Pelodiscus sinensis: one gene and its partner. The protein of the gene in region 1 interacts with the protein of each later gene in a pairwise test. Links are inferred from orthologs where the notes say so. Each region holds a gene or a part of one and is shown in the gene's direction. Other genes may lie near its edges.

Region 1 (4,895 bases):
CTCCCTGGATTAGGTAACGTTGCTAACAGGATTAGGAAATGTTGCTCATGTAGAATTTGCAGCATGCTAACTGAACCGTAGCAGTGCTTTGACGGGATGCAGAAGGAGCGCACAGCTTTTACAACGTTCACCATGCACCTCACTTTATGTGTTCTTGCTTTACATGTGTGTCAATTTTATAATATTGATAGGGAAAAAAACACATGGACAGAAACCAGTGGAATCTGGTAGCCCTGCACACGGGCAATGCTAAACAAAATGTCTCCTGGGTCACACACAGAGCCCCACTGGGCAATCCCCGTAGCCTCTGTTGTCAGAAACTCAGAATGGATCACTTGGTGATTCCTTGTTCTGTTCATTCCCTTTGGGGCACCTGACATGGGTCATTGTTGGAACATAGGACACTGGCCTAAATGGACCTTTGGCCTGACCCAGAATGGCTGTTCTTATGTATGGATTTAACCAACCTGTTTAAAAATGACACCTGTATAGTGAGACTGTGCAGACCAGGCTGTTAGGTTATGCTACTGTAATATGAATAACCTCTAGTCCCCACCCCCTGGCCAGAGCTGGCCTCCCAGCTCTAACCACTAGCCCCCACTCCCCTCCTAGAGCTGGAGAGAACCCAGAAGTCCTGCCTCCCTCCTCAATCTCAGTTTGATTCAACAGCTTGGGGAAGGAGGCGGGTCTTCTGCTTCTCTTGGGCCTATCCCGCCTCTTCCTCCTATCACGTGACCGGTACCCGCGTCTTTCCCACCACGTGACGCCCCGCTTTCCCTCCCTCGGGTCACGTGGGGGGGCTGCCAGAGGGCGGGGGACGGCGGCCGGCAGGGGTCAGCGCCCGCGTGTCGCGTTTGCTCGTTTTGCCGCCGCAGCCGCCTCCCTCCCGGGCCGGGCCGCGGGAGCCGCCACCGGAGCGTGAGCGCGAGAGGCCGCCGCGGGCCGCCGGGCAGGTACCGCCGCGCCGGGCCGCCTAGGCCGCCGAGCCCGCCCGGGCCTGCCGGAGGCGGGCGGGGGCAGCGTGGCCGCCGGGCCGTGGGCGGGAAGGGAGGATGGGGGGGAGGGGGAGCAATGGGGGAGAGGGGAGCGATGAGGGGGGAGGATGGGGGAGGGGGGAGCGATGAGGGGGGAGGGGGAGCAATGGGGGGATGAGGGGGGGAGGATGGGGGAGGGGGGAGCGATGAGGGGGGAGGATGGGGGAGGGGGGAGCGATGAGGGGGGAGGATGGGGGGGAGGGGGAGCAATGGGGGATGAGGGGGGAGGGGGAGCAATGGGGGGATGGGGAACTGAGGCCGCCAGGGAGGTGGGTCAGGGGGTGGGGGCACTACTGGGGGAGCCCAGAGGGAGTGGGGTGGTTGGGAGATGGGGGGGGGTATAGGAGGGAGCCCAGCGGTGCGTGGGAGGGGGGTGGGACGAGCCTGGTGGAGGGGGGACTCTCGAGGGCTGGCGGGGGAGGGGCCGAGGGTAGGGATGGTTGGGAAGGCTCCAGGGTGGGACAGAAGTTGGGGGCAGTCACTGGAGGGTGTGAGGTGCCGGGGAGGAAAGAAGCATTTGGAGCAGAGGAAGATGGAGCTTGGGCCTGTTCCTCTGGGCTGGGGGATGACGGAGCCTCTCTCTTTCCCCTCTGGCCCAGATAGCACCATGCAAGGGAACCCCATGATCTTGACTCAGCTTGGAGAGGGGGATTTGGGGCTGGATCAGCAGGGAGTGGGAAGAGGGGCTGTTTAAAGACGGCCTGCCCGAAGCAGGGATGGGCTAGGAGGCAGTGGGGTCTGCTCTAGAAAGGGTGGGGCAGAGAGGAAATGGTGGGGGTGGAGGCTCAGTCTCTCTCCACGTGTTTCTCCTGGTTGTGGCTGTTGGTAGGGGAGTTCCAGCAATGCTCCAAATAGAAAAGGTGAGGAAATGCCCCTCCAAAAAAAAAATCTCTTCATATCCCCTGAGCGTTCTGCCTCTGCTGAGCTCCCCATGTGGTTTGGTTTCTTGGTGATAAGCATTTGGGAAACCCTAGAAGTTAGGGGTTTTCCTTTACTTATTTTTCTTCTCCAGCCCGATTCCGAATATCCCATTTCTTGGTGTTTCCCTTGGGAGGTCGATTGCACAGTGCAGGAGATCCCTTAGCAAAAGGAAACATTTCACATCATTCGCCTAAACTTTCTCCAGTGGCTTCCCTGCTGTTGTTCCTAGGTCCGTACATCCCTGGAGATGGATGTGCTGCTGCGGGGGTGGGCAAACCATGCCTCTTTCAGCCAAGGGCCCGATCCAGCCCTTTCTTAGCTCTGTAAGATGTTGCACTAATATGATCCCCGCTACGCCCACATTCCAACCTTAAAACGAAAATAACATTTTCAGCAAGGCTGGTTCCTGCCGAGGCAGCAGAAACTTTTCTTGCCTCTGTATGATGGCAGGAAGGACCCATGTATATTGAAAAGGCTCCTGGATCAGAGCTGTGTCCAGTCATTGCTAGTGAAGGCTTGTTGTGGCTGACAGCCAGAGTTCTGCAATGCTTTGTGTTCTTCATTGCAGTTGTAGCGCGATGCGCTGAATGGAGTATCATTAACCTCTTTTCCTTCCTCTGTAGCTAACGCTCTGCACCATGGATTGGCAGCCAGACGAGCAGGGACTACAGCAAGTGCTGCAGTTACTCAAAGATTCTCAGTCTCCTAACACTGCCACACAGCGTGTTGTCCAGGACGTATCCTTGGAATAAGCCAGGTGGTTCGCTAGGAGGCCATTGCAGAGCCAAGTTGTGTGTGTTTGCTTCACTAGCTCAGTAAATTATGCTGAAAACTAAAACCCTTTACATCAAGGTGCCTGGCAGAGCCTTAACATGGGGGGAGATTTTAGTATTCCTGTCTGGGTTTATTTTTTGTCCCATTGAAGAATCTGTTGCTGACATGCAGCTTGGCAGGGTGCTTGTCTGGTCCTTAATGGTACCCAGAATCTGTTTCGTGCAGATCTTTGCATCTGTCTTCCCTTGAAATTCCTGTGTTGTGCCATGTGCCTTTTTCCTTCACCTAGCATTGTAGAAACTGAAGCAACTGAACCAATATCCTGACTTCAATAACTACCTGATATTTGTCTTGACACGGCTGAAATCGGAAGGTACGTAATCTGCCTCGATGGAAGTGCATGGAAAATACACGGGGACTTCTCCCTTTGCCATTAAGTATCTCTCTCATGAAAAATTCCCTAACTGGGGATTGTTGGGCTAATGTGTGCAAGCAAGAGAAGAGAAAACGGAGTATTTTGAGGTTGGTTCCCTTGAGTAGGGAAGCCCTTCACTGAGACATCTGTGCTAGGCTGTCTTGCTTGTTAACTGAGTTTGTATCTGATTCAGGCCTGACCCCGTAAGGCCATCACGCTTCTTGAAATGTCTGCTGCTAGTTCCTTGTGACTAGCTGGAAGTTCATGCTTTCCAGAGGTGGTGCTGCAAGAATTAGGCTAGATCACAAGTGGTTTAAGAAATTTGTTGAGGTGGCGGGAATTAGAGTAGGGAATCTTGTACTCCAAGGTTCTTGGCCTTTCTGTGAGAGCGAGAGAGACTGAGTCAGGAGATGGGACGTGTGTAACTGTTAGCAGCTATGTGCTGCCCCCACCCCCATGTCTCCATCTGGCAAGGAGGTGCTGTGTGCCCATTGTACAGATGGGGAACTGAGGCATGATGTGGCTAAATGACTTGACCAAAGTTGTTTGTGTGGAACAGAATTGAAGCTTGTGTCCCAGGTTAATGCTGTAACCAGTGGGCCAGCCTTCCTCTCCAAACTGGGACTGCTGTGTTCCGTTCCCAGCTGTGGGCTAGTGGTGGCCGGTACTCCTGATCTGTTCCCTGCTAAACTTTCTGAAATCTCAGTGAGTCAGTTCCCCTCCTGCTCATTTTGGGCCTCCTTCCAAGCGAGGCTGGTATTCGCTCTGCCGTGGATCGGGCCATGCCTATCAGTGCCCTGCAAAGGAGCTTGTCTTGGAAGAGGAATGGCAAGCCATGGCCTTTGCAAATGAAGGTATAGCGCGAGCATCCCAAAAGGCAGCTGGCTGTATCCTGAACCATCACGTGCTTTGGGATTATAGGCACGGGTGCCTGGGAAGCAGACCCCCTCATGCTTCACATCCTTTCGCCCGTAGGCCGTCAGCGCTCTAGATCCATATCGGAATCTCTTGTCCTCCGGTTGCTCTCAGACAAGCAGCCACCTCTGGGGTGAGCAGCGACAGCAGTTTTTAGAATTCTGTTTGTCCCCTTCCAAACCTTCTCTCACCAGATGAACCGACGCGCTCGCTCAGCGGGCTGATCCTGAAGAACAACGTGAAGGCGCACTACCAGAGCTTCCCCCAGCCCGTGGCGGAGTTCATCAAGCAGGAATGTCTGAACAACATCGGCGACGGCTCGTCACTTATCAGAGCCACGATCGGTAAGAGCGGCGGGGAAGAGACAGGGTTGCTCTGTGGGCAGTTGGAGGCCACTTGGAAGGAGCATTTCCCGGCTTGTGCTCACACCACCTGCGTAAATCGGCACGTGGAGCGGAGGTGGGGATGTGTTCTAATGATGCCCTTAAAGCGAGGCTGTGCTGGCTGATGTGGGAATTCTTCAGTGGCCCGTCTTGTGTCGTCTCTTTCGTGGGAGAGGATTTTTCTCACTGCTGGTGCTCGGCTCTTCCTGCCGGTGAAGAATCCGTGGTGGGAATGTAGTTAATGCAGGCGGTAGGGATGTCAAATCCTACTTCATTAATCAGCTGAGCGATAGTTTAACCAGTTAGCGGTGAGGCTTACCAGTTAAGGGGTTCCCCGGTAACATCTCTAGCAGGAGGTGGGATTTATTTAATTGATTTAAAATATTTTTACCCTGCCTCTCTATTTAAAATATTCGAGGTAGCATACAAAATTTTTGACCTCAAAGGGGGGGC
Region 2 (4,895 bases), on another chromosome or scaffold:
CTTTTAACGGAAAAACTTTTCCGCTAAAAGCATTTCCGCAAAATTATGCCAGTCTAGACGCAGCCGGACAGTCCCGCTACCCAGAACTGAGAGCAGATGGAGCATGCTCAGGCTCTGCGAGCTAAACACCCTCCTAAGTCTAGTCAGCAGTAGCACAATCAGCTGGGAGGGTTTGGCCAGAGCATGCTGAATGAGGCCAGATTCTTCAGAGTTTCTTGCTACTAAAATTAAGTCCCTGCTGACCATGCACAAACTACAACTGGGGCTAAATGTCATGAGGTGGCAAAAAGGACATCGTTGACACAAGGGCCATCTTTCCACCAAATGTCAAGTCTGTTTTCTAAAGCTCCAGGGCACTCCAGCTTGTGAAAGCAGGCTCTTTGCTGGCCAGGCCTCTCGCGCGTATTGCCATCCAAGCAAAAGGTCAACTTCCCCTTGATGAAAACCCTTACACTATGTAACTTAAAGATCAGCGACGAATAGGAACCAAAACCAGACCCAAAAAGTTCATGTAAAGTTCATGCTGGTTGTGCCATGTCCGATAAGGCAGAAAAGGAAAAACAGGAAACCATCTCATCCCCTTACTCCTGTCACTTAACAGCTAGCCTATCACAAAAAGCGCACAAAAGCTTTCTCTATAAAACAGCTTCCTCTCCTGTATCAAATTGAGGAATCCCGAATAAACATTGGATGGCGGAATACGAGCCAGGTCCGAGGACTGATCACCCGAGGGCCACCTCCCGCTCACCGAACCAAACGAGTTCCTGTAGAGTGTAACGTATACCAAACATAACAAATACCAAATATGTTGTTGTAGTTTGTGTGTCTGTTAAATGTAAGTATTGTTATCTGAAATTGTTTAGAGGTATTGTTAAGTAGTAGTGTTAAAAGTTTTAGATAAATGATTAGTCTTATAAGTAAGACTGATGTAAATGTAACTGTTAATAATCCCTAGTCCCTTGTTAACAACTATTGGGATTTAGAGAAACCTCAAAGAATTTTCTTCTCTGTATTGCATTTTGCTTATTGGACAGTCTAATAATTATTTGGTGCCTATGTATGTAAGAAATTGATAAATTATGATTTTATACAAAGCCCTTTAATAAAAGTTTAAAAGATATTTAGTAATAGTTTGCCTGTTTCTGCGCCTTCCTGGGACTAGCCACATTTCCGAACCTTTTACTTTAAACCACACAGCTGTTTGAAGAAAAGGTCAGCAGAATGTTTCCATATGGGCAAAGAACGGATTTTTCCCCCAGCCTTCCAGGTTAGTAATTGGTTGAATTGTTCTGGCTGATTCCCCCCCCCCCCCCAAGAAGAAATAAAATACACCATTAAATGCCTGCAGCCGGAGGTGTACAGACACTTCACCATGTACAACTCCGGATTACAAGGTGGCAAAATGAAGCTGAAAACAGGATGCTGTGCACATTTATTCAGAAGCGATTTACTGCAATTCGCCGGGCGCTAAGCCAGATTGCCAGTGAGGAGTGAGTCGCTGAAGCTGGGAAAGCTACAAAGAAGCGCCCATGCGGTTTTGCAGACTTGGGGGGAGGAAAGACGCTTGGCGCCCCCAGGCAGAGACCTCTCCCCACGCGGACGCATCACGCCAAGCCCGCCTCCCTTGCAGCGGCGCTAAAGCCCGCGCCCCACCGCACGCTGGAGAGCAGAGAGCGTCTCCAGACGGGGGCGGGGGTGTTAACTAGCTCACTCGCTCCTGCCCCGCCCCAACCTAGAGCCAAGTCTCGCGAGAAGCAACACGCGCTGCCCTAGAGGAGGCTGCCTGGAACGCGCCCGGGCTGCGTGTCAATTATGACGCTTCGGAATGGAACGCGGCGAAGGGCGGAGGCAGGCGCGCGTGCGGTGGGCTAGGGGGAGGTCCTGCGCGGGCCGCGCGCAGCTGGCAGCCCGCGGGCGGAGGTCAGGCGGAACGTCCTCCAGCTGTGGACTAAGCCCACGTGCCTCGTTGGCAGCGGGGAGGCTGTGCAGCTGCTGCAGCGAGCCGCGCCGCGCGGGGAGCTGGCAGCCGGCTCCCGGTACACAAAGCAGCCCCGCCACTGAGCTCTCCCCTCCGCTCCTGCCTGGGGTAGGCTCACGCCCAGCCTCCGCCGCGGCGAGCGGAGCGCCGCTGTGTTTCAGTGAGACATTCACCCTCCTCCTCCTCCTCCTCTCCCGCTGCTCGTGCCCGGCGGCCGCGCTGGGAACGCTGCTAGGGGAGAACCGGCCAGGCTCCTTGGGAAGGCGAGGGAGTGGCCGCAGAGACTGTCTTCGGGGGAAAGCCCCCCGAGAGCTCGCAGCCCCCCCACGTGTTGCGCACCGCTAGAGGGAGCCGTGCCCCAAAGAGAGGGAGACGAGGACGGCAGAAGCAGCTGCCGCAGGAGGAGAAAGACCCCCCCCCCCCCTCCGCTACCTCCAGCTACTACTTCTGCTCGGTCTGCTCCCCCCACCCTAGCGCTGCGCTGCTGCTGGCTGTAGCGGCGGCCGGGCGAGCCGCACAGAGCTCCCCACAGGCCGGCGGCTGCTGCTGCCGCGGTCAGGGCCCAGCCCCGCGCGGAGCAAAGGCGGAGTGGACCGGGGCAGCTGCGGGGTTCCAGTTCCCCGCTCCTCCTCCCACCAGCCGCCCAGCTGTTTTATTCTTAGTCACTGCTGGCTGGGCTGCCTCTCGCCTTCCCGCGCTGCCTGTCGGCTGGTTTTGGTTTCCCTTTCGCGGGCCGTTTCCTCTCCAAGCCCGACCTTTGAGGGGCTTATACTGAAGCAGAAGGACTAGGGGAGGGACGAGCGGCAAGGACAGCTCGCCCGGCGGCGTGGAGCGCCCCACCCGTCCGCCCAGCCCCAGCCGACTATCCAACAAGAAAGTAAAGAAGCCAGCAAGGGTGACGCCGACTCGCCGGGAGGAGAAGAAGCGCGGCTTCTCTCCCGTCTCGCCTCCGGTCCGCCCCCCTCTTCCCAGTCCCTCTCTGCCTCCGAGGCACCGGCAGGAGCAGCCTGGACTCATGATGGCTTCAACCGCTACCTGCACCAGGTTCACCGACGAGTACCAGCTCTTCGAGGAGCTTGGAAAGTAAGCGCCGCGGTGGGGGAAGGGGTCGAGGGGAGGAGGGGGATTTCGGTTGGGAGCAAGGGAAGTGGTTTGACAGGTTGCGGCTGGGCAAAGTTGTGGCTTTTGTTCGGAATGGGGGTGGTGGCTGCTGCCTCAGATCCTTTGCAAAGGAGTCTTCATTGCATTGCTAAGCTCTGCAGTTGGAGTTGTCCTAGGGGGAGGGAGGATTCAGCTCCATGCACGAATCTAAAGGATAAATGCATAATTTTTAGACACAGCTGCCTAGCTTGCTTTGCATGCTTGTCTGTTTTATACTTGATACAATTAGGTGCTACGTTTATTGAGGCAGAAAGTTCAGCTGGATGTACAGTATCTCTTGCATCCAGTACTTCCAATGGGGAGGAAGGGCGACCCTCCCCTCCCGTCCTCTTGTTATTTGTGAAGAATTATTGTTGTTCTTGCTGGTAATGTCACATTGCATCTATCATCTCTTCAGGATTTACGGCCACCATTCTCACTAGGGTAAGAGAAACCCAAGGTAGATGAGAGAGCTCTGCCCATGGTCAGAAAAGCTGCCCGGTTTATGTAGACACTCAAAAATATATCCAGACATTCATACATTATTCACACACAAGCTGATGGCTGTGTATTGTTCATACTTGAAATTAACTATTCTCTACTCTCCAGTTTTTTTTTTGCTTTCTGTTTAAATTGAGAATTCATTGGTGTGTCATTTTGTTATGTAAATGACTTGAAAAGGCTTGTGGGGATACCATTTGGTATCAAAAACATGGAGAATGTTGTAAACAGCAGTGTAATTCAAATGCTCCTTTTCTGCAAGGAGTAGGATGTCCCTGTGTAGCGCTGTGTTCATTAAGATACACTTCTTACTCACATGAATGAGCTCTGTTTAAATTTAATTAAATATAATAGCCACATTGACAAAGCCGGAGGTGTAATTTTTACACAGGTTTGGTTTTGTTTTTTTACACTTAACAGGTTTGATTACTGTAATGTAGTCAGGGAGCAGTTGAGGCTTTTGAGTCGAGGAACAGTGAAATGTGCAAGTTTCTGGTGTGTAAATACCATCACTTACAGTTTTCTGGACATATATTAAAACTGCTTACCGTGACTTGTGGTCACTTTTATATTTTAAATCCAGTTAATTGTTGTAGTCTATAAAATGAATAATGATTGCCATTTCGTGCTCATTTGCCTGTCTCTTACATCCACAATATGCATTTCAATCAAATCAGTTAAAACACTCACATTATTAGAATCATTATCAATATTATAGCTCCTGTGCTGATGTTTGTCTGGTTATTGGTTTTCAGGGGGGCATTCTCAGTTGTAAGAAGATGTGTGAAAATTCCTGCAGGACAAGAGTATGCTGCCAAAATTATCAACACCAAAAAGCTGTCTGCTAGAGGTGGGTATTTTTCAACCCAATGTTTTCTGTGTCTGTGTCTCCCTGTCTTCATCCCCAGTCTCCCCTCCCTCCCCCTTTTTTTTGTTTTTGGCTTAGTAGTATATCTAAGCATTTACACACTCAGGAGACATTTTATTTTTTCTCCTTATATTTTCCATTTCTCTAACATACTGATTAGATATTCCATGTTGATGAATAACGTTTGGCAACGCTTAGATATGAGATTACTGTTCTGCCATGCTAAAAGGAAAGACATACACATTTCAAAGCATTGTTAAAAGCTTTTTGTGAGTGATTTTGAGCTTGGAATGTTATTTTCTTGTATTTTTTGAGAACGCACTCCTGTAGCTTTTATTAAAAGAAATAGGTCAAAGCTTAATTGAATCTCATTCTTTCATTGTATTTAAATAAGAACATAATTCATCA

What was found.
Region 2: the proteins of TNPO2 (region 1) and CAMK2D interact in binary tests that used the Homo sapiens proteins (3 or more experiments, as listed by UniProt). The two-hybrid records come from large-scale screens. The link is inferred for Pelodiscus sinensis from reciprocal best matches to the Homo sapiens genes TNPO2 and CAMK2D.

What each region holds. Positions count from the first base shown.
Region 1 is NC_134729.1:13,328,107-13,333,001, forward strand, and holds the start of TNPO2 (transportin-2), read left to right. Parts: upstream 1-1,528; 5' UTR 1,529-1,876; coding exon 1,877-1,894; intron 1,895-2,046; exon of another isoform or gene 2,047-2,184; intron 2,185-2,578; coding exon 2,579-2,692; intron 2,693-3,026; coding exon 3,027-3,102; intron 3,103-4,253; coding exon 4,254-4,403; intron 4,404-4,895. UniProt on the Homo sapiens protein: Probably functions in nuclear protein import as nuclear transport receptor. Serves as receptor for nuclear localization signals (NLS) in cargo substrates.
Region 2 is NC_134715.1:32,405,130-32,410,024, reverse strand, and holds the start of CAMK2D (calcium/calmodulin-dependent protein kinase type II subunit delta), read left to right. Parts: upstream 1-1,750; 5' UTR 1,751-2,993; coding exon 2,994-3,061; intron 3,062-4,374; coding exon 4,375-4,469; intron 4,470-4,895. UniProt on the Homo sapiens protein: Calcium/calmodulin-dependent protein kinase involved in the regulation of Ca(2+) homeostatis and excitation-contraction coupling (ECC) in heart by targeting ion channels, transporters and accessory proteins involved in Ca(2+) influx into the myocyte, Ca(2+) release from the sarcoplasmic reticulum (SR), SR Ca(2+) uptake and Na(+) and K(+) channel transport.